Drosophila melanogaster: one gene and its partners. The protein of the gene in region 2 interacts with the protein of the main gene of each other region in a pairwise test. Each region holds a gene or a part of one and is shown on either strand. Other genes may lie near its edges.

Region 1 (6,153 bases), 330 kb from region 2:
GGAGGACCCGCATTCCCCACTCGATATAATCCGATCGCACGTCCTCCCGATTAAAAGGCCGCAAAACCATTTACCGTAGTTAACCAAATCTATAAAATGCATATGTTTCGATTTGAAGATGACATAAGCGACATATAACCTTGCAAACTATTATTATTAGCAGCTAGGTAAGTGGAGCATGCAATGGGTTATTATACTTGTTTACGTATACAAATTGTTATGATAAATGGAATGTGAAATGGGGGGGGGGGGGGTGGGCTTTGAGTGCAGCTGCGCTATGTTTTCATAACGCGATAAGCGGTCAGGATTACACTCCTCCCCTAGCCCCATCCTCCTCCTCCACCTCTTGCAGTTGGTCCTGCTCCTCCGGCTGGGTATCAACGGTATCGTTGGTGTCCGCATTCAGGTCCACCCAGTTGTCATCGCTGATTTCGTCAATGGTATCCGTGTCATCCACTACGGCCGCCACGCTCACGTCATCCGTGGAGCCGGAATTAGTGGTGCCAGTGGTTGTGGTGGCCGTGACGGCGGACGAGGGTCTCAGTATCTCCTCCTGAGTGGCCGGAGTCGGGGTCGTCGACGTGGTGTACGATGCGGAGGAGGGTGTCTCCGAACGGTAGCCCATTCCCGTAATGTACGACCCGGACCCAGAACCCGAGCCCGATCCAGACCCTGATCCGGATCCCGATGCGGTTTCCGTGGCCGTTTCCGTGTTGGAACTGCAACTTGCCGTTGTTCCCGAAGTGGAGGCGTCGTCTCCGGGGAGGGCGTCCTGAGAAAGCCTAGGTCGCGGGGCGCCCTTTAACTTGTTCTTTTGGCGGGCAACCTCATAGTCCTTGAGATCGGACAGCTTGAGTGTGATTTTCTGCAGATCGCGCTTCAGCATCTCGAAGTCGAATTCCTGATTTTTGCTGATGATCCGAAAGACTGGTGGTCACGCGCCGATCGCAATTAGAACAGTGACTTTTGTATAACAGTCACTGGGCCAATAGCGGCTTTATACCTTCACTGGCCCCCATAGAGTGACCGAAAATCACTTTTACTGTCATACATATGCAATGTAATCGATTCTTTATTGTTGAGTAGGATTTAACTTTGTTTACATATGTACATATATCATATTTGTACTACATCCAACCCAAATTCAAAGACATGCGAGTAATGTATTCGCTATTTGCAGTACATTTATATTGCGGTGAATGATGGGGGAAAACCAGTACATATACATATACGAATGATGGTGCAGTGATGAGCATGGAGCGATCGAGAAAAAAAAAACAGTATGCATTACGATCTTGGGGATAGGTAGTGGTCCTAGTAGAAGCCGTAGTGGCCATGGTGGTACGGATAGTAGCCGTGGTGTCCGCCGTAGTAGGGCGCCGCATGGACGTATCCGTAGCCGCCGTAGTAGGGACTGCTCAGTCCACCGTAGCCGCCGTAGTGACCGTGTCCATAGGCACCGTATCCGCCGTATCCGCCGTAGCCGCCATAGCCGTGGCCGAACCCGTAGATGCCTCTCTTCTCCGTCTTCTTCTCATCCACGGCGGATGGCTCCGGCTCCAGAGCTTCAGGAGCAGGCTCCGAAACTGCTGCCCAGGTGCTCATGAAGCAAATGGCCAGGATGACGAACACGCACTGCACAGAGAAAAAAAGGTTCGGTATATGAAACATTTGAAACGATGTTAACAAATGATTTGTTTCAAATTGTAGCCAGAGCACTTCCAGCAATTTTAAATAACTTGTATTTTGTTGGATAAACTGTCACTCAAAAAAAAGTCCACTCGTTTGCTTGACCGGTGTCCTGGTATCCTGGTATCCTAATGTCCTGGTGTTGCTGCTTACCAAGAACTTCATGTTGCTGCTGCAGATGTTGCTAGTGGCTGTTGGCTGGTTGACTTGATGGGTAGGGCGCCAGGCGAGGTTTGTTGATGGCTGCCAGTGGCCCGACGCTTTTATAGTCACCCGGCTTGGCTTATTGTTGCCAGTTGCTGCTACAGTTGCAATTATGCAAACTGACAATAACGGCGGCAGCAGCAGCAGCAGCAGCGATTGTTGCAGCTGAATTGAATGCATGACGGGTTGAGGACTTGAAACCGAATATTGTTTATGCTGCGGAGCCAAAAGGTCATCCATCCGCTCATCCGGCGGAGGAGAACTTGGCGGAGGATTGCAGTGGGGGGAGTGAGGTGGAGTGGGCGTGGAAACTAACGATATCGGTTATAATTGCCAGCGTAGTCGAAATTCTAAGATCCCAGGCTCGTTGGGTAACCGAAGTGGGGCAGCAACGCGATCCACAAGCAACGTGCAACACGAGACACTCGACGCGTTCCACAATCACCAAGTGCCCCTCTCGTACACGGTATGCATATCGTGTAACACTTTCACTGCCAGATCGGATGGCCAGCAGCGCCCAAAAGGCGCACTATTACCTAAGCTCGTTCAGAAGCTGGCCAAATGCTGGGATGCCACTGGCCCCGTGGGAATCGCATATGCGCGCCAGCATTATACACAAATTACAAACAATTGCACGTTTGGCAGCGTTTTGGCATTTTAATTAAGCTGCCAGACAGCTGAGATCTCTGCCAGATCATTTCCAATGCAAAGTCTTATCGACAGAATATCCAAAGTGCACGACTTTGACGGAGACCTCTGGCTTAAGGGGTATATTGGGACAAGGATCGGTGACCAGGTCAATGGTCATTAGTTTTAATGGGCTTGAAACTAGGTTGAAGAGATCTTCTATTCAGAGGAGCACAGCTTTTGCTTAATATACTAAAGTTTTAAAACAATTTGATAGCCATTTGGGCAGACGACTCTGTTCTGCGCGTTCCATTATTCTCGATCACTTCCGTCTGCCGGGGGTACTTGCTACCCAGTACCCAGTGCCGTGCCCACACAATAAAGGACGACCTTGACCGCAGTGGCAATTGCAAATCGCAATTGCAGTCTGCTGCGGCTGTTGCTTTTGCTGCTCCGAGTTCCCAAGTCATGAATGAAGCAACGCCGGAGGCAACATTGTTGAATGAAGCATGCAAAAGATTTTCCCAATCGACGACGTCTCGCCATCTCTGGCCAAAAGTGGGTGGCACCGCCATTGTCTCCTTCTCCCCGCGGTTGTTTTCGTATCCACATCGTTTAATATTTATGCTCTGCCCATTGGAGGTGAATGCACGCGAGACGCGTTGGGCAAGCGGAAGACCAAGCAGCCAAGGGGTTTGGTCTATGGACTGGGACCTGGTCACGATCCGGAGATGACAACATATTTGATTGCCAGCTAAATTATAATTCTTGACTAAGTCTAGTCCGCCGAACGGGTCGATGTCCATGTCGCTGTCGATTGATTGATTTCCCATTGTAGCCGACCAGTTTGATTTACGGCCCAGACGGCTAATTGCGCATTGTTGGCTTGGTTCCAGGGTTAGATCTTGAATCTGGAATCTTACAATCCCACCGGGCCTGCCGACGGTCCTCCACTTTGGCCAGCTGTCCGAGGTTACACAACAACAACCGGCGTTGGCCGTTTTCAGCTGAAAATGCTTACATTTCCTTACAGTTTATTGCGCTTAACAGACATTTAACAATTAAAGGGGCGGAGGAGGGCGCGCCTAGTACTTCAGTTCCTTGGCCTTGTCGTGGGCTCCCTCGTCCAGGAGCTTCAGCTCCGCCTGCTGCTTCTCCGGTCGGATGACCGTGCAGTAGTGGTAGTAGCGCATTCCCAGGATGTAGGTGCCGTACAGGGTGACTCCAATGCAGGCATACACCGCGCCGCGGTGCAGCTTGTCCAGCAGCGTGTTGGTGTTAATCGGCTTCTTCTGCATGGCGGCAAATCCCTTCCAAGTCCATAAAAGTTTCCGGCAGTCGAGTCCGTCGCCTCAGCTGGTCTGTCAGTGATGACGGCGGCGAATGTATCGATAATTGGGCGTACATTTACTAGCCAAAATAAAGATGAAGACAGTCGAATGAGTACTATATTTTTAAGTGAATTTTAGGAAATCGTTCCAAATGTCCCATTTAGCTTTGAGTCTCACTCGTTTAACGTCGTTTTATCGTTAATCTCACTTTTAGCTACTCTAGCTGGAAAAGGCTTAACTTAAATCGCCGATTAATAATATCGCTGATCTCTGGCCAATCGATATACACCTATACGCACGTGTTTACAAATTTGTGTACTTCGTGGGAATATTTCATCGTATTCTACAACGCCATTGTGAAATAGCTGGACCGAATAGACCTCCGGAGGATTCATGGATCACGAATACGTTGGGGTTAGCCCGCTGGGCGCAGCGGACGGCAAGGGCGCCGGATCGAACGCCGTCATCCTGTGCTGCGAGTGCGGAGTGGCCATCCAGCCGAATCCGGCCAACATGTGCGTCACCTGCCTGCGCAACCATGTCGACATCACGGAGAACATCCCAAAGCAGGCCGTGCTCCACTTCTGTCGTAATTGCGAGCGCTATCTGCAACCGCCGAACGAGTGGATACAGGCCGCCTTGGAGTCCCGCGAACTCTTGGCCATTTGCCTTAAGAAGCTAAAAGGCCTGAAGGAAGTGAAGTTGGTGGATGCCGGCTTCATCTGGACAGAACAGCACTCCAAGCGCATAAAGGTGAAGCTGACTGTGCATGGGGAGATCATCGGGGGAACGATGCTCCAGCAGGTATTCGTGGTGGAGTTCACTGTGCAGAACCAGATGTGCAACGACTGCCATCGGACCGAGGCCAAGGACTTCTGGCGCTGCCTCGTGCAGGTTCGTCAGCGGGCCGAGAACAAGAAAACCTTTTACTATCTGGAACAGCTGATCCTTAAGCACAAAGCCCACGAGAACACTCTGGGCATAAAGCCGGAGCATGGCGGCCTGGATTTCTTCTATGCCAATGATAATCATGCCCGGCGCATGGTTGATTTCCTCCTGACCATGGTGCCCGGCAAGGTAACAACCTCGAAGCGTCTCATCTCTCACGACATCCACAGCAACAACTATAACTACAAGTACAACTGGTCAGTGGAAATAGCACCAGTATCGAAGGACAGTGCAGTTTGCCTGTCCAAAAAGCTGCGCCACCAGCTGGGAAATCTCTCGCCATTGGTTCTGGTCAACCGGGTGTCTAGCAGCATTCACTTGATTGATCCCCTGACCGCACAGATTGCAGAACTCACCTCGCAGGTCTATTTCAGGTGGGACTCCTATTTGACAAAGGTTATCTTCGAGTAAGCCAATTAAATTGCTTTTTTCAGAGCTCCCTTTGAGGCCGTCTGCAATCCCAAGCAGCTGGTTGAGTACGTCGTCATGGACATTGATGTGATCATGGAAAAGGATCGAAAGACCTATCCTGGTCAAGGGCAGGTTTCCTTCAAGCACGCTCTCTGCGACATTTGGGTGGTGCGCGCCTCGGAGCTGGGCATCAACGATAACCCCATTCACACACGCTCCCACTTGGGCCACCTGCTCAAGGTGGGCGATTCCGTAATGGGCTACAACACCGGAGAGGCCAACATCAACGATCTGGAGTTCGACAAATTGTCGTCGGATGAAATTCCGGATGTAATTCTTGTGCGCAAGCACTACGATCGACAGACCAGACTCAGTCAGCGCGTGTGGAAGATTAAGCATCTGGCGGCGGAGGCTACCGATGAGCGCAGCAAGTACGACTACCACGAGTTTCTTGACGATCTCGAGGAAAACGAGGATATCCGCGGTCAGGTCAACATCTATCGGGACACTAACAAGACGATACCAATCGAGGTACAGGCCGCTGGAGGTGATGTGCCCCAGATCACACTGGAGGAGATGTTGGAAGATATGACATTAGAGTGTGCAGACGACGAAATGGGCGAGGAGGGAGGTGCTGACGATACCGAGCCACAGTTGTAGTCCTTTTTTTTATTAATCATAACGCTTTCTTTTACCCATGTATACCCTGTACATAATCGCTTAATCCATATAAACAACTAGGAAACTGGATAGAGCTTAATGTGTGAATACTCTGAAACTAATTTGCCTTTATGTTACCAAGGTTGCAAAGTAACTTAAATTTGGAATACTGATTGCTTCCATATTTCACTCGCTTGCCTTCGTCAATTTATCGTAAATGGGAAATTCGCTATGTCTTTTTGGTGTAAGCTTAACGTTGGTAACATAACGGTTGCGCTAAAAT
Region 2 (8,120 bases):
TGTTAGCGCCCAAGTGCGAAGTGAACTCCTCCGGTGAGCAGCAGTGGTGTGCAGCAGTGAAAGTAGAAAGTGATTCCAGTGATTCCAGACCAGAGAATGCCGATCTGGCGAAACACCAAGGGGCTCAGCCAAAGTTGTCAAAGCACTTATGTATGTCTTTGATCTTTGATGTAACGAGAGATTGCAATCACTTCGCGATATGTCAATACAATGCAGTCGCTCCAGGCACCAGCAAACGCCAGATCACCGATCACTGATCGATTTGGAATCGATTTAGTTTCTTGCCAGTGGCTCATGAACGAAAAGGGGAACGAATCGATGGGAGGCAGGGGGCCATTGACGATCATTTGACGGATGAAGGCGATCGACTAAATATAAATTGAACGTTCGTGTTTGGCACATTTGTGCGAGAAATCGCATCAATTGTTTTAATTGTCTAGTATATAGGCAGAGTTGGGATGTGTTGGGATGTGTTGGCTTCTGGTATATGGCATGGCGATCTATAGGTAATGCCCCGTGCACGAAACCGAAATCTCTAGCAAAACACTTGCCAGACGAGATTATGCAATCGCTGGCCGAGAATCCGAGTGGGGAGAGTCAATAGGGGAAGGGCGAAGATAGCATCGCGCCATTGTGTGCCATTTTTCCATTTAAGGCTTTCCGCCAGACAGCCAGTCGTCGACGACGACGACTCCCATGGAATGGTGGCATGCAAATCTTTCCCCAAAGTGACGCAATTAGGTGACCACTTAAAAGACGCCACGGCTGGGCAGAACAAACTCCTCCATAACCACGTGCAGTTTCTACTTTAAAGTTCGGAGAATTACATTCTGAAAGCTATCTGGCAAAACAATGATAGTAACTTGGGGGCTATCTGAGCAGATGCCAAGCAGTGGCATTCGGCCAAATGGCCAATGATTCATGCAGATTGTGCAATACTCCGAATCGGCTGTAGAATTGACCAAATAAGGCGAAAACCCGAAATCGAGTTCCCCAATCCGATGATTCACGAGCGTAAGCTTTTTATGAAAAAGAAGTCGTCATCACTGTGGCATATTATTTTATTTCAATCGATTTTGCGTCACCTGTTGACCAGCCTACCAAAATCTTTGCGGTTCAGCTATAAAAAGCAAGTAATTGCTGCCCATCGAACTATACTCCAAGTTGAAAGAATTTGGAGACCGCGATTAACCGCATAGCCCATGACATAATCACCCAAGATCATGACGAGATGTTACACCCAAAAAAGAAGAATTGCTCACTACACTGTCATCAAGCTATATCTGGTTCCGAATGTCTGGTACAATCATACATCATTTTGGACAGATATCAGGATTTTAGTAAAATACGTTTTTTCGGATTGTTTTTCTTAATAACAGGGCAAAAAAAGGTCAAACATCCATACAAAATAGTGCTTTGCACAGCTAATTATCCAAACTAACGACGCCCACCACTTTTAAGGGGATTAAAAAAAAAAAAATTTTTCAAAATTTAGAATTTTTTATAAGGGGTAACATCATCATTTTTTGCGAAAAATGTTCAAAATTCAACATTTCCAGCCTGGAATGCCATCCGATGGGAAATTTTATTACGAGTCCAACGAGGTATGACATTCCATGATTAGACCGATACTTTAGATGTTATGAATAAAAAACATATTATTCTAGGTAAAAAAAACAGGATTTGAGCAAAACTAGGTTCATTACGGAGGTGTTACATCATAACTTGCCCAAAAAACCTCGCACAGATATAACAATTACATCTTTATGCAGCTAATGTTCCCAACTAACGAGCCCTATAATTTGCGTGATGATTTCGAACAAAAATATTTTATGCCAAAATTTTGATTTTCTGTAAGGGGTAACATCATCATTTTTTGCGAAAAATGGTCAAAATTCAACATTTCCAGCCTGGAATGCCATCCGATGGGAAATTTTAATACGAGTCCAACGAGGTATGACATTCTATATTCAGACGAGTTTTACCTTTTTTGTAAACAAAAAGCGTATTATTTTGGAAGGCTTTGTATTCCTGTAGCTTCACACTACGTTATTATTGTGGTTACTATTGCCGCTTATTATTATGACCTTAATGAGGTTCTTTGTTTATTTAATGCCTTGTTTCTCGAATCTTAAACAGTCGGAAATCTTATTGGTGGATCAGATCAGATTCGATATATGTATATGTATGTACACGCATGCATTTGTGAAAAATGCAGCGCCGCACTTTGGAATTTCTCTTCGACTGCAACGTGAATCATCTCGCTTTCGAGAGATGACTTTCGTTGGGAAAGGTAACCAGTTTTCCGCGTCGTGATTTCAGTTCTATAAAAACGAAAGTGAAGCTTACAGTGGATGAGCAAGAATAATGTGGGTTAATGTTCGCTGCGCTCGGCATTCTGGGTATCCACGTCAGTTTTTAGAGATAGACATAAAATGGTGGCATTTCAATAATGGGAATACTTCTGTAATGCCCTGTGTTTCTTATGTCAATGCTGCGTATGAGTTATAAGGGTCATGAAGCGCGAACAATTTGAGTGGGGCTCTCCATGTCCGATGGTACGCAAACACCGAGATAGGTCATCACTGGTCACATGGGGATCCATCCAACTGAACGCTTAATTCGAGTTGAAGGCTTTATTGCGCTGGCTAAACAAACGCACCTTGGTGCCAATTTCGGTGCTCATTTTTTGTTTTTGTCATGTTTTATCAACTTTATTGTCTCTGCGGTGTTTACCTTGCACAGCCGCAGCTTTTCGACACCCACAGAAACGCAGGGAAAAAACGAAAAAGAGGCAACGACGGAGGCCTAGACGCCACACGTGGGTCGCCAGTGCCCCTGGTGAAAGTTCAAGGCTGCAACAGGTAGACACAAGCCGCAAACAGAGTGGGTTTACCTAGCAGATGTGCTTGCATATCCGAGGCGCAAAACCAACCAAACAAGCTCCACATCGCGGCGGTGCCACAAGGATCATGGAACCAGGGATCGCAGATCTGCAGTAGTTTAAGGCGCCACACCTCTCTTGCCAGGAAGGATACCTTCCAATTAGAGCGAACGCCTTCTAAAGCGAATTCCAATCAGCAAGGACTTCGCATGTAAACGAACTAATATGGCGATTAGCTATTTGAAACAATCTCTTCCATTGAGTGTGTATTGTGGATAGCATGGCTCGTGGGCTCCGGAATGCGCTGCAATTTGTCTGCTGGCACTACTGATACCGCTGCATTGTTACCGCCTTGTTGCATGCATCATGCCATGCCCACGTCCACGTCCACGTTTGTGTACAACTTCTTACATGACGTGGGCGCCGGCATTTCCTCGATGCGGTGCACCCAACCCGAAATGCAAACCCGGAAAATGTGCAAGATACTGCTGCACGAAGCACACCAGGCCGTTATGATTCAGTAATTACGTTTGAAAATCGAGTAAATGGCCAAGTTCAAAAGCTCTTAGCTGGCTTGCTTCATCGCTATAAATTTAATTGGTGTACATTGTGTTTACTTTCTGGGGCTTAATCGTACAAAGTCTTTATGTACATGTTGATGACGCTAGACTGGTTAAGACAAACAAGATCAAGTAACAGCAGTGCTTAATGCGTAATCCGTAATGCTTATGCTATGCGAGTCGTACAAAACAATGCTTATGGTAATGGCTATCGGTTAGAATGAGCGACAAATGTAACAGGCGCTACCATCGGGCGAATCGAGCGAAGCGGGCGCGACTTGGAAGATATAAGTATCTGTATCTGGCTTTGTATCCGTATCCGTATTTTGACTTGCGTATTTGGCCTGAGAGTTGCGATTGAGGCCCCAACTTTCGTTAGTTGCTGGGGGCGGTCGCCGATGTACCCGTCGGCTGCTTGAAGATAACGCCTGTGATCTCGCCGTCCTTCTGGATGACACAGCGTCTGCGGGGAAAGAAACGGGTGTCAATTAATACGCAGCAGAAATATAATTCATAAATAGTTTAAGGTACATTCTTTAAACTATTCCGACTATTCCAAGAGTAGTCCGTATCTAGTCCACCTAGATACAGCCCCTCATATCCCTCCTCCCACTTACTTGTTTCCGCTGTAAAGGCAAATCGTTGCAGGAGCCGTGGCATTCAGCTCCAGTTTGGCCACCTGCTCGGAAATGGCCATTCCGATGCCGGACACGTTCGGATCAATGTCTCCTTTGGCTGCAAAAATGTATTGTGGCATTACGGCACGGCCACTGACTAATCATCGATACTCACTGCCCAAACACAATCCCTGGCGATTGGCCAGCAGAGCTCCCACTGTGTCCTGCCGTGCGGCGCTGAAAATACGTTATGGATTTGTGGTTTATTTGGAGTACTATCTGGAATCGACGGATCGAGTGTGCCTACATTTCCGCTAGGACTTTCTCCAGTTGCTGCTCCATGGACGACGTCGTTATTTCCGCAGTGAAAAAACAAAGCAAGAACAGAACCAAAACAATGACCAGTGTGACCGCTCGCCGAGAAGACGGCAATACCAATAAGCCGGGCGTTAAGAATCCATGCACAGTGGGTACTACTTGCAAAAAAAAGTGACTCAAATTTAATATTTAGTTTTTAGTTTAAAAAAAAGGGATAACCTTCGCTTATAGTTAAGAATCCAGAAACAATCCACTTTGGTGTATATTGTATATGGTTTATTCATAGCAATCTACATACAAATTACTCAAATCGAAGGGGTGCGACGAAGCACACAAAACAAAACACTGCAATCGCCAGTTACAACTAATTGCAATTAATTTATTTGATACCGTTATATGCAGCGCAGCGGAGTGCACAAAATTAGTTTAATTAATTGGCTTTGATGGTGTTTTTTTTTTTTTTTTTGGAATCAATTACTCGCTCTGAGAAGCTGTCTGCGCCATAAATATGTAAAGTTCGCACATGGAAAAATAATTCTCAACATGCTGCAGCAGTTGAATTAATTGCATCGCATCGGATGACCCCGGGAAATTATGTATATTTATGTACTACTTAGGTGGGCGTGGCCAGCGGCGCGGCCTACACGATCTCGTACTTTTCCACGAACAGAATGGACTCGCTTGAATACTTGACCGCCGCCTCGCTGTCCACCTGCACCACATCCTGGGCCACGACGCCCGCATACGGCGTTTTCGAGACGAAGGACACCTGCAAGGGGAAGAAGTCACCGGGAATGGAGGCACTGCAGCTGAACTCCATAGAACCGGACTTGTTGGCGGCATCGATTATTGGAATGTGCCACTGGAGCACATGCTTGCGTGAATCGTAGTTGTAGGTGCCGTCGTACTCCGCCACCGAAGGCTGCACATTCATTCTAAGGGTGAAATGGAATAAGTAATCGCCTGCACATCTACGCCATTACTACACTTACGGCAAGGGAATGACAATGGCCACGTCCTGCAGCTCTAGCTGCTGCGCCTCCAGTTCATACTCAATGTTAACATCGCATCCACCCTCTCCATTATCCGATGGCCAGCAGTTAACTGGGAAAAAGGGAGAAACACAAGCACGTGGCTGAGCGAGAGGGAAGAAGTTGTTTGGGTTTGGATGAACTTACTGGTCAGCGGGACTGCCGACTCGTCCTGCGAGACGAAGCGCCACTTGAGCACACCCACATCGGTGTTAAGGGGAAACGGCTTGCCCAAGTTCTTTAGTCCGATGGTAGTGCGCGACTTGAACAGCTCCTTGTCCACGTTGGGGTGGGTCTGCAACTGCAGGCCCTGTGTGTGGTTGGGAGACAGCTTCAGCAAAATGCGTCCGTAGGCCTCGTCCGTAATGCGCAACGTCAGGAGGCCCGAGTTCTCGAACTGCTGCACGCCACCATCGCGTCCCAGACGCACTACTAGCTTGTCCTCAATCTTCAGATGTACGCTGAAAATAGATGTTATGCATTTAATAACTAACTATACAATCGAGCTGAAACCCACCTCTCTTTGTGAATGTCCGACGCGATAGCTGCCTTGGCCGCTGCACTGGCGCTAGCTGCAGCACTGGAACCTCCAGCGGGCGCCGCCGGTGCCAGATTGGCAATCTTCTCGCCCTCGTTCTTCAGCTGATCCACGAAACTATCGACGTCCTTGGACTTGCCACCTAGCTTGAGGGCATTGCGGGAAGCTGGTTTACTGCTGATGAAATCAGAGCAATGAGTCAGGAGCCTAGATTTAATAGAGCAGAGAAAGAACTTACGCAGCCGCCTTGGATTTGGTGTCCACATCGATGGAGGTGATGCCGGTGTTGGCGCTGGAGGCACCGGAACTGCTGCTCACGCCGCTACTGCCAATTCCGTCGGCGCTAAAGCCGCCGCTGCGGCTGCCAATGCCACCCAGGGAGGGACCACCCCGTTTGCTGGCCTCCATGCGCTGCCGCTGCAGTTCCTTGGCCTTCTCGCGCATCTTCTGGCGCGCATCACGCTCCTGCGTCTGACGCACTGCCTGGTAGACCTTCTCCTCATGTGAGTCCATCTCCACGAAGGTCTTGATCTGGGCCAAGTTGACGCTCTCCCTGTAGCCGAGTGCCACGATCTCGTCAAATGCGAAGATCAGATTGAAGGCATTCTCCACAATCTCCTTCTCGTCGAGCGAGTGGCTGTACTCGGGAATCTGCAAGCGATGGGCCTGATTAACACTGCGGCTTGAGTACATCCGTGTGCAACTCACCACTTTCGAGAAGAGGCGCAGGGTCTCCAGATCCTCCAGAATGTTGCTGGCCTTAGTGGTGATGAGCAGCATATATAGTTTCTCCATCGGCTGGTAGACGTAGCGCACGGAGTCCGTCTCCACGTAAGTGTGCTGCTTGCCAGCAGTCATCAGCTTGGGAAAGGCAGCCAGCAGTCCCTCGATGCGTGCCTTCGTCATCTCGACGAACTGACGTGACAGAATCACTGCGTGTACAAACGTTACGGGTTAGCTAAAGTGATTATTTCTTGCGGTGCATGCAAGCCACTTACCTTTGCCATTCTTCGTGCAGACAGCCGCAGCAATTAATACCTGCAAGTCGGATAGGTTTAGTGATAATACCGGAATGCAATAACCCCCGCCGATGAGACCCAAAATCGCCGACGTGTAGGTGTGTGCGTGCGTAGGTCGGGGCTCTTACCATTTTGCTGCTGCGTTTGACGTTTTTGCCCTGGAAAATACTTCGCGGATCGGATGCGGACGGCGCAGGATGGACTGCTGCTACGGATCGGATTTGCGGGGCGATAGAAACGTTGTTTAACAATCAATCCCCGTAGCTGACGTGTTCGGTTCTGCGACAAATGTTTACCGTGGCTTTGTGTGAGTTCGGGTAGTGTGACCAGCGCCACTGCGGAAACACAGTGTTAATACGCCTTGGGCCAAGGTAGGAGGTAGGCCCGTGGATACCCTGCCATTTTTTTTTTTTTTTTTTGCTACTCCATCTAGAAAATTGTTGTGTCTAGCCTTAGCAAGTACACCGCACTACTCACTTTTCACCAGTGTAGAATTTAACATTTCAAGATTGTGCAAAGCAATTATTTAATAGGTTGTATTAGGCATATATTAACATACATAAACAGACATACTCTTTCACTGTAAGTAATGAGTCCAAGCATCGCCTTTACCAACACCGCCGGCCGACACCGGCTATGCAAAATCGAGCTTTACAGCACTAGCTTTTAAATGTCCGTTTAATTTTAATGGAAACCATGTTTCTGGTTAAGAAAATATATAATACATTAAACAAAATATACTACTTCTACTACTTCGCACGAACTGAGATCTCAGTTAAGTTTTTCAAATTGTCTATGATATACCAAAAATGGTTTAGGGCTTGGAGCACATAATTTAACAAAACTCAAAAGAGAACCCAGCTAGTTGGACGACTCGTCCAGTGTCAGCGTTTCCACTCGGCTGGCGATCGACGCCGCTGTCTCCTCCGCCGGCTGACCCTTCTGCTTGGCGTACTCCACGCTCAGGATGCGCATCACCTGTGCGGCAGTCATGTTGTCGCGCTTGTGTCTCTGGAAGTTGTCCTTAACGAACTTAGCAAATCCCTTCGCCTCGCCCGCCGGCGTGGATACGGTGTTTCCTTGCTTGTCCTTTTTGTTCAGGAAGAGGGTGATGGGTCCCCGGCAGATCCTGCAGCGCAAATCTTCCACCTTG
Region 3 (6,136 bases), on a different chromosome or scaffold from region 2:
TAATCCGGATAAGCGTAGGGAACTGCTCTGCCAGAAGCTACTCCAGTTCTATGATCAGCATCTGACCAACCTGAGGGATCCCGCGCAATGTGATATCATCGATATGCTGCATTCCATTCAGTATCTGCCATTGGATAAAACGCTCTTCTTGCGGGCCCAAAACTTTGGCACCCTGTGCGAGACCTTCCCCGACATCAAGGAGAGCATAATGCTCTACCAGGAGCAGGTCCTTTGTGGCGGAAAACTTAGCCCGGAGGATCTGCACTGCGTGCACTCGTATGTCGTGCAACACGTGCTGAAAGTCGAGGCCAGCAGTTCCACCATTGCAGTTTCTCCTTCACTAAAGCGAAGCATAAGTGAATGCCAGGTGGGCGGATTCGTAAGAAGTCGTCAGAAGGTCGCAGGAGATGAACATGACGCTGTGAATGAGGAAGATCATCCAATGAAGGTCTATGTGACACTGGACAAGGAGGCCAAACCCTACTACTTGCTCATCTACCGCGCTTTGCACATAACTCTGTGTCTGTTTCTGAATGGTATGTTAAGGATTAGAACTAAATAGCCAAAATAATCAACTTGAAACATTCCACATTTGTCAGCTGACCAGGTTGCGCCGAAACAAGATCTCTACGACGATCTCCATGCCTACATGGCTCCCCAACTGACTTCGTTGGCCCGGGACATATCCAGCGAGTTGACAAAGGAGGCGGTGGGTGCTGCAGGCCAGGACAACTCCAGCGGGAACAGCGAAACGGCGCCGAAGTACTTGTTCATTAACGAACAAAGCCTGCAGCACCACACGAACTTTCAGAGGCACCTGCCCCAAGGGCTGCCCCGCAATGTGCTTAGTATCATTGCGGACTTGGCCAATGGCAGTGGCAAGGCGGAAATGGAGAGTGCTCCTGCCGAGGAAGTTCAGGTCAAGACCACCAATGACTATTGGATTGTGAAGCGGCGCTGTAACTACAGGCAGTACTATGTGATCCTGTGCAATAGCAAGGCCACCTTGCTGGACGTCACCCAGGAAGCGAGGCGCATTTTCGAGCAAGAGCTCACAGATGATGTATTTTTTGACAAATAAAGAGGAGGATTAGGTAAATAATGGGAGTGCGCCAATTGTGGGGTCTTTGTCCGGTTGCTTGCCAACAGAATCTGCAAGTGGGTCGGACATCCGACGACGGATTTCAAGCCAGCACTGCCCCGGAATCGCTGGCATCGTTATACACGCTGTTCGACGAGGAGGAGCTCGTGGTCGTGGTGACGCCATTCTGCGATTTGCTGATCTTAATGATGTATATTCTACGGTTGGACATGCAGATGCTGTAGTAGTGATGCTCGTAATCGATGGTGATCCTCTCGCAGCTGCTGCTCGGCATGAAGGACTCGTCGATGCTACAATATAGGCGTAATTATTACAAAATTCCTTCATCCTTTGTTTAAAAACGCACGTCTCTGTGAGATTTAGTAATCCCATTATCACATTTGCACTGCGCTCATCGTTCTTCAGATCTCCGCCGGACTCCAGAACTGCTCCATCTTCCTTTAGTATCAGATAGCCAATTTGATTGGGCACAATCAACTTTTCCCTGTCCATTTTCAACATATTTATTTATTTATCTTTCGCACCCACACCCACCAGTGTGACCGGACTAGATCCATTTAGATACCAAATCGGTAGCCTGGCAGCCCGGTTTCAGTGTTGTAAATTGCCACATGCGCGCCATTGACACAAATTCGAAATTGGGACACCGGGCTAAGGTTAATTCATTCAAAAGACAAACAACGCACATCAACAGGAAACTAAAACTCCGGCTCTAAGTCAACAGAGGGCGTGGTCGATAAGGGGGCGTGTGCAGGTGCATGGCTAATGCGTCCGTCTGGCGAAAAAGTGGTAAAAGGCCACGGACAAGGAAATTCCGGACACAGTCTCTCCGGAATGGCCAACTACTATCGACGCAAGAAGGGTGACGCGGTGTTCCTCAATGCAAAACCGCTGAACAGTGCTAATGCCCAGGCATACTTGTACGGGGTCCGCAAGTACTCCATTGGATTGGCGGAGCGATTGGATGCGGATTACGAAGCTCCTCCGTTGGATAGGAAAAAGAGCTCGGACAGCACGGCGTCCAATAATCCGGAATTTAAGCCGGTTTGTGGATTGCTACGCTGTTAAAACCATTTTTGTAAAACTGAATTTCGCTGCTTTCAGAGTGTTTTCTACCGAAACATAGATCCCATCAATTGGTTCTTGAGGATTATTGGAGTATTACCCATCGTGCGACATGGTCCTGCTCGTGCCAAGTTCGAAATGAACTCCGCCTCCTTTATTTACTCGGTGGTTTTCTTTGTGCTCCTGGCGGTGAGTGTGGTGTTTGCATAACATTTTTCAAAATTGACTATGGATACCATTATGTAACCCAAAACCGCTTTACAGTGCTATGTAGGCTATGTGGCCAACAACCGCATCCACATTGTGCGCTCCCTGAGTGGACCCTTCGAGGAGGCGGTTATTGCATACCTCTTTCTGGTCAACATCCTGCCCATTATGATTATACCAATATTGTGGTACGAGGCCAGGAAGATAGCAAAGCTCTTCAATGATTGGGATGACTTTGAGGTGTTGTACTACCAGATATCCGGGCACAGTTTGCCTCTGAAATTGCGACAGAAGGCGGTGTACATAGCCATCGTGCTGCCAATTCTCTCGGTTTTATCGGTGGTCATCACGCACGTCACCATGTCGGATTTGAACATTAACCAGGTGGTGCCCTACTGCATCCTGGACAACTTGACTGCAATGCTGGGTGCCTGGTGGTTCCTCATCTGCGAGGCCATGAGCATTACGGCTCATCTTCTGGCGGAGCGGTTCCAGAAGGCACTGAAACACATTGGACCCGCTGCCATGGTGGCAGACTACCGTGTTCTGTGGCTACGACTGAGCAAGTTGACCCGTGATACTGGAAATGCCCTGTGCTACACCTTTGTTTTCATGAGCCTCTACTTGTTCTTCATCATTACCCTTTCGATTTATGGACTAATGTCGCAACTCTCCGAGGGATTTGGCATCAAGGACATAGGACTGACTATCACGGCTTTGTGGAACATAGGACTGCTCTTCTATATTTGCGATGAGGCACATTATGCCTCGGTTAATGTGCGAACCAATTTCCAGAAGAAACTACTCATGGTGGAGCTTAACTGGATGAACTCGGATGCCCAGACGGAGATAAATATGTTTTTGCGAGCCACCGAAATGAATCCATCGACCATCAACTGCGGTGGCTTTTTTGATGTGAACAGGACTCTCTTTAAAGGACTCTTAACCACAATGGTCACTTATCTGGTGGTTTTGCTGCAGTTTCAGATCAGTATCCCCACAGATAAGGGGGATTCTGAAGGCGCTAACAATATAACCGTAGTGGACTTTGTAATGGACAGCCTGGATAACGATATGAGTCTAATGGGAGCCAGCACTCTGAGCACCACCACTGTAGGAACCACTTTGCCACCGCCAATTATGAAGCTAAAGGGCCGGAAAGGCTAGTGGAACAAATAATCCTAAGACAAGAAAGATATTATTAGATAATGTGCATCTGTAGCTGAGGCCAAATAATAAAAGCACCCAAAACTGAATATTCCAAACATTTTTCTAACTTGATGTACATTAAATTAGTAAGTGTGGAAATAATAAAAAACACGTTCATTAGATATGTTACAATTTTGCACTTTTATTTGATATTCGTTCTGTGCCACAAAATAGAAATACCTAAAATATTGCTAGTCAACAGAATTTAAGGCATATTATAGTTAAGTAGTGGTAAATCTACTGAGAAACTAAGCTTTAAAAAATTCGTTGCTACAATACATATTTGTATGAACGCCAATTTATTTAAGACAAGTTTTTCGTTTCAAGATTTTGGGGCTTAATCAATCTCGGCTATCCCGAGAGTTTCGCTGCCGTAGCCTAGGGGTTAGAGAGTGCGACCTTCGCTTCGAAGTTCCGAGTTCGAGTCGCGTTAGTGACCAAATATTATTATTATTTTTTTTATTTTTTAAGGTGCTTTGGGAGCTATTTCTACACAAAAATAGTTTATAGTTTAATCGCCGAACGCTTTGAACCGATTCTGCATTTCTAATAAGCCGCTCCATGTCCGTTGGCTATATAAAATAGTATCTCTACCAAAACCATATCACACTCTGTTTTGCAATACAGAATTTGCAGTGCAATTGCAATCAAGACACCTGATGGGAAGTTCCAAAAATATCCAATCTTTCAGTACATGTTTAACACTGTCCATCGGGAGACTCGGTTAGAATGTGCTTATATCCATTGCTGCCCAGATACATGTGCTCGCGTTGGAAACGATAGGGTATCTAATGTATAAGAAAGTTACTATTAAAGTTTTCAAAATATTGATACCAACTTACGGCTCCTGGAGCTGGACATGGTATGGCCACAGTGGCAATCTCTCGAAGCTTATTCATGGTGCGTAGACTCTGGTAGAAGCTATGCATCACATACCACTTGCAGTAATCCATGCAGATCAAGATGTAGCAAATGATAACTGAAATATAAGATAATTCGTTATTATTTACTTCAAAATTTAAGCCTAAAAATCCAAACTTACAGTAGGGCACTTGACCACCCAGCAATTGCACGATTTTTGTATCCCTCAGCATGAAGACCAGTGCCCCCAAACCAATCATTAATAGGAACTCCACAACCAGCCAGGGTATGATTAGGCCCGGCCGATTTTTGAAGACTCCGAAAAACAGGAATATGGCACTCAGGGCGTAGGTACCCGCGATACCAGCCATCACGTAGAGCAGATTCTCCGTGGCGACGGCCAATTGGGCAGCGGTTTGCAGGCGAAGATCGTTGTGAAAGGGCGACATGTTGTAGAAACCATTGTCCTTCTGGTCCAAGATGTCCAGCTCCAGCACCTCGCACATCTGTTCGGCATGCGCCAGTCCCAGGAGAACCAGGAAAAGGGCGCAGTGGGAGATTAACTGGGGAATATAGAAAAGCGACTGTTTAGGATCTCACTTAACAAAAAGTGTTTGCGAAAACCGGAACAACCCAGCGATCTGCTGAAGCTACCACCCTTATTTTTCACCAAACTGAACGAAGCCAGAAAGCTGCTTCTACAATTCCCAACTGGTTCTAGGAGCTTTCGCAACAACTCCCAATATATTTCAGGAGAAGAGCTTTAAAAAGGGTGCTCGTCCTGGCACGTTTCCGATCACGAAACTCAAGTGCGGACGCATTGCGCCGCAGGAGCGTCTCCTTCGCTCCGCCCCTGGACTTCTCCGGGGATAGGCGGGGGCGAGCGTTCCATTGCCGCCTTCGACGCCTCCTTGCGCGCCCAGTGGGGTATGGCTTTGCATATCCAGTGCGTAATTTTTGTATTTGGGGCCGCGGCTGCACATTGTGGATTGCTCGGGGATTCCCGGATCTCCCTGCGTGCCAGTGCGCTGCGCCCCGCCTGAGATATCCATTCTCCAGTCTCTTATATAATCCGCTACTATATATACATGTATGTTTGAACTTACCAACTGGTAGATGCTCGTCAAGAGCGCCGTGGTCCTGAGGTTCTTGGGCGATACGGGCGCCATCAGCATTTCCCAGCTGCGGCGACAGCAGTTTTTCCATTTGCATCCTGCGGCGGATTGGCCGCTGACCGTTGGCAGCAGCATTTCACTTTAGTTTTCCGAGTTTTACTTAATCAATTTATGGATTTTTCCCGCTTATTCAGCTAATCAAGGAGCGACGCAACTGTTCCGCGGCTGTTTCGTCATGCAATTGAACTTGGAGACCTCGCGAAAAGGTGGAGGGGCAACACCCACGCGACCCAAACTTTTCCGGAGCTTTTTCCTGTGGTTTGGGGCGTAAACTGCACTAGCGAATTAATCAAAAAAACTATATGGATAAAACAACGTTGAGTGCCAAGGTCCGCAAAATGTTTTGACTCGGCGAAAAGCTTTTACGACTGTGTTTTGTTTCATACTCTGCCGTTGAGTTTTTTGGCTATCTAAAGCGTGTGGTTTATACAATATATGTACATGTAAGGATAATTCAAAAATCAAAGTATTCTTAGACTAACCAAATATTTTTTTTAAATTTATGGCTTAATAGCTT

Evidence for each region. Proteins that work in one complex are often made in the same cells at the same time.
Region 1: the proteins of Lamtor5 (region 2) and CG17777 interact in a two-hybrid assay, tested with the Drosophila melanogaster proteins (one large-scale study listed by BioGRID).
Region 3: the proteins of Lamtor5 (region 2) and Lamtor4 interact in a two-hybrid assay, tested with the Drosophila melanogaster proteins (one large-scale study listed by BioGRID).

Annotation. Positions count from the first base shown.
Region 1 is NC_004354.4:2,182,630-2,188,782, reverse strand, and holds CG17777 (uncharacterized protein), read right to left. Parts: upstream 1,929-6,153; 5' UTR 1,855-1,928; coding exon 1,843-1,854; intron 1,636-1,842; coding exon 1,315-1,635; 3' UTR 1,042-1,314; downstream 1-1,041. Other genes in the region: CG3457 (uncharacterized protein), read right to left, coding at 308-886; CG17776 (uncharacterized protein), read right to left, coding at 3,606-3,818; Nmd3 (Nonsense-mediated mRNA 3), read left to right, coding at 4,245-5,173, 5,234-5,870.
Region 2 is NC_004354.4:1,854,500-1,862,619, forward strand, and holds Lamtor5 (late endosomal/lysosomal adaptor, MAPK and MTOR activator 5), read right to left. Parts: upstream 4,473-8,120; 5' UTR 4,404-4,472; coding exon 4,369-4,403; intron 4,299-4,368; coding exon 4,237-4,298; intron 4,180-4,236; coding exon 4,062-4,179; intron 3,908-4,061; coding exon 3,820-3,907; 3' UTR 3,390-3,819; downstream 1-3,389. Other genes in the region: deltaCOP (coat protein (coatomer) delta), read right to left, coding at 5,020-5,314, 5,372-5,483, 5,558-5,871, 5,928-6,125, 6,187-6,599, 6,657-6,880, 6,947-6,986, 7,096-7,098; Gcna (germ cell nuclear acidic peptidase), read right to left, coding at 7,829-8,120.
Region 3 is NT_037436.4:3,892,404-3,898,539, reverse strand, and holds Lamtor4 (late endosomal/lysosomal adaptor, MAPK and MTOR activator 4), read right to left. Parts: upstream 1,641-6,136; 5' UTR 1,604-1,640; coding exon 1,449-1,603; intron 1,393-1,448; coding exon 1,185-1,392; downstream 1-1,184. Other genes in the region: Ccz1 (Caffeine, calcium, zinc sensitivity 1), read left to right, coding at 1-536, 600-1,081; Gr63a (gustatory receptor 63a), read left to right, coding at 1,937-2,146, 2,207-2,356, 2,432-3,541; Fie (fire exit), read right to left, coding at 4,282-4,371, 4,426-4,562, 4,626-5,007, 5,551-5,694. UniProt on the Drosophila melanogaster protein: Regulator of the TOR pathway, a signaling cascade that promotes cell growth in response to growth factors, energy levels, and amino acids. As part of the Ragulator complex, may activate the TOR signaling cascade in response to amino acids.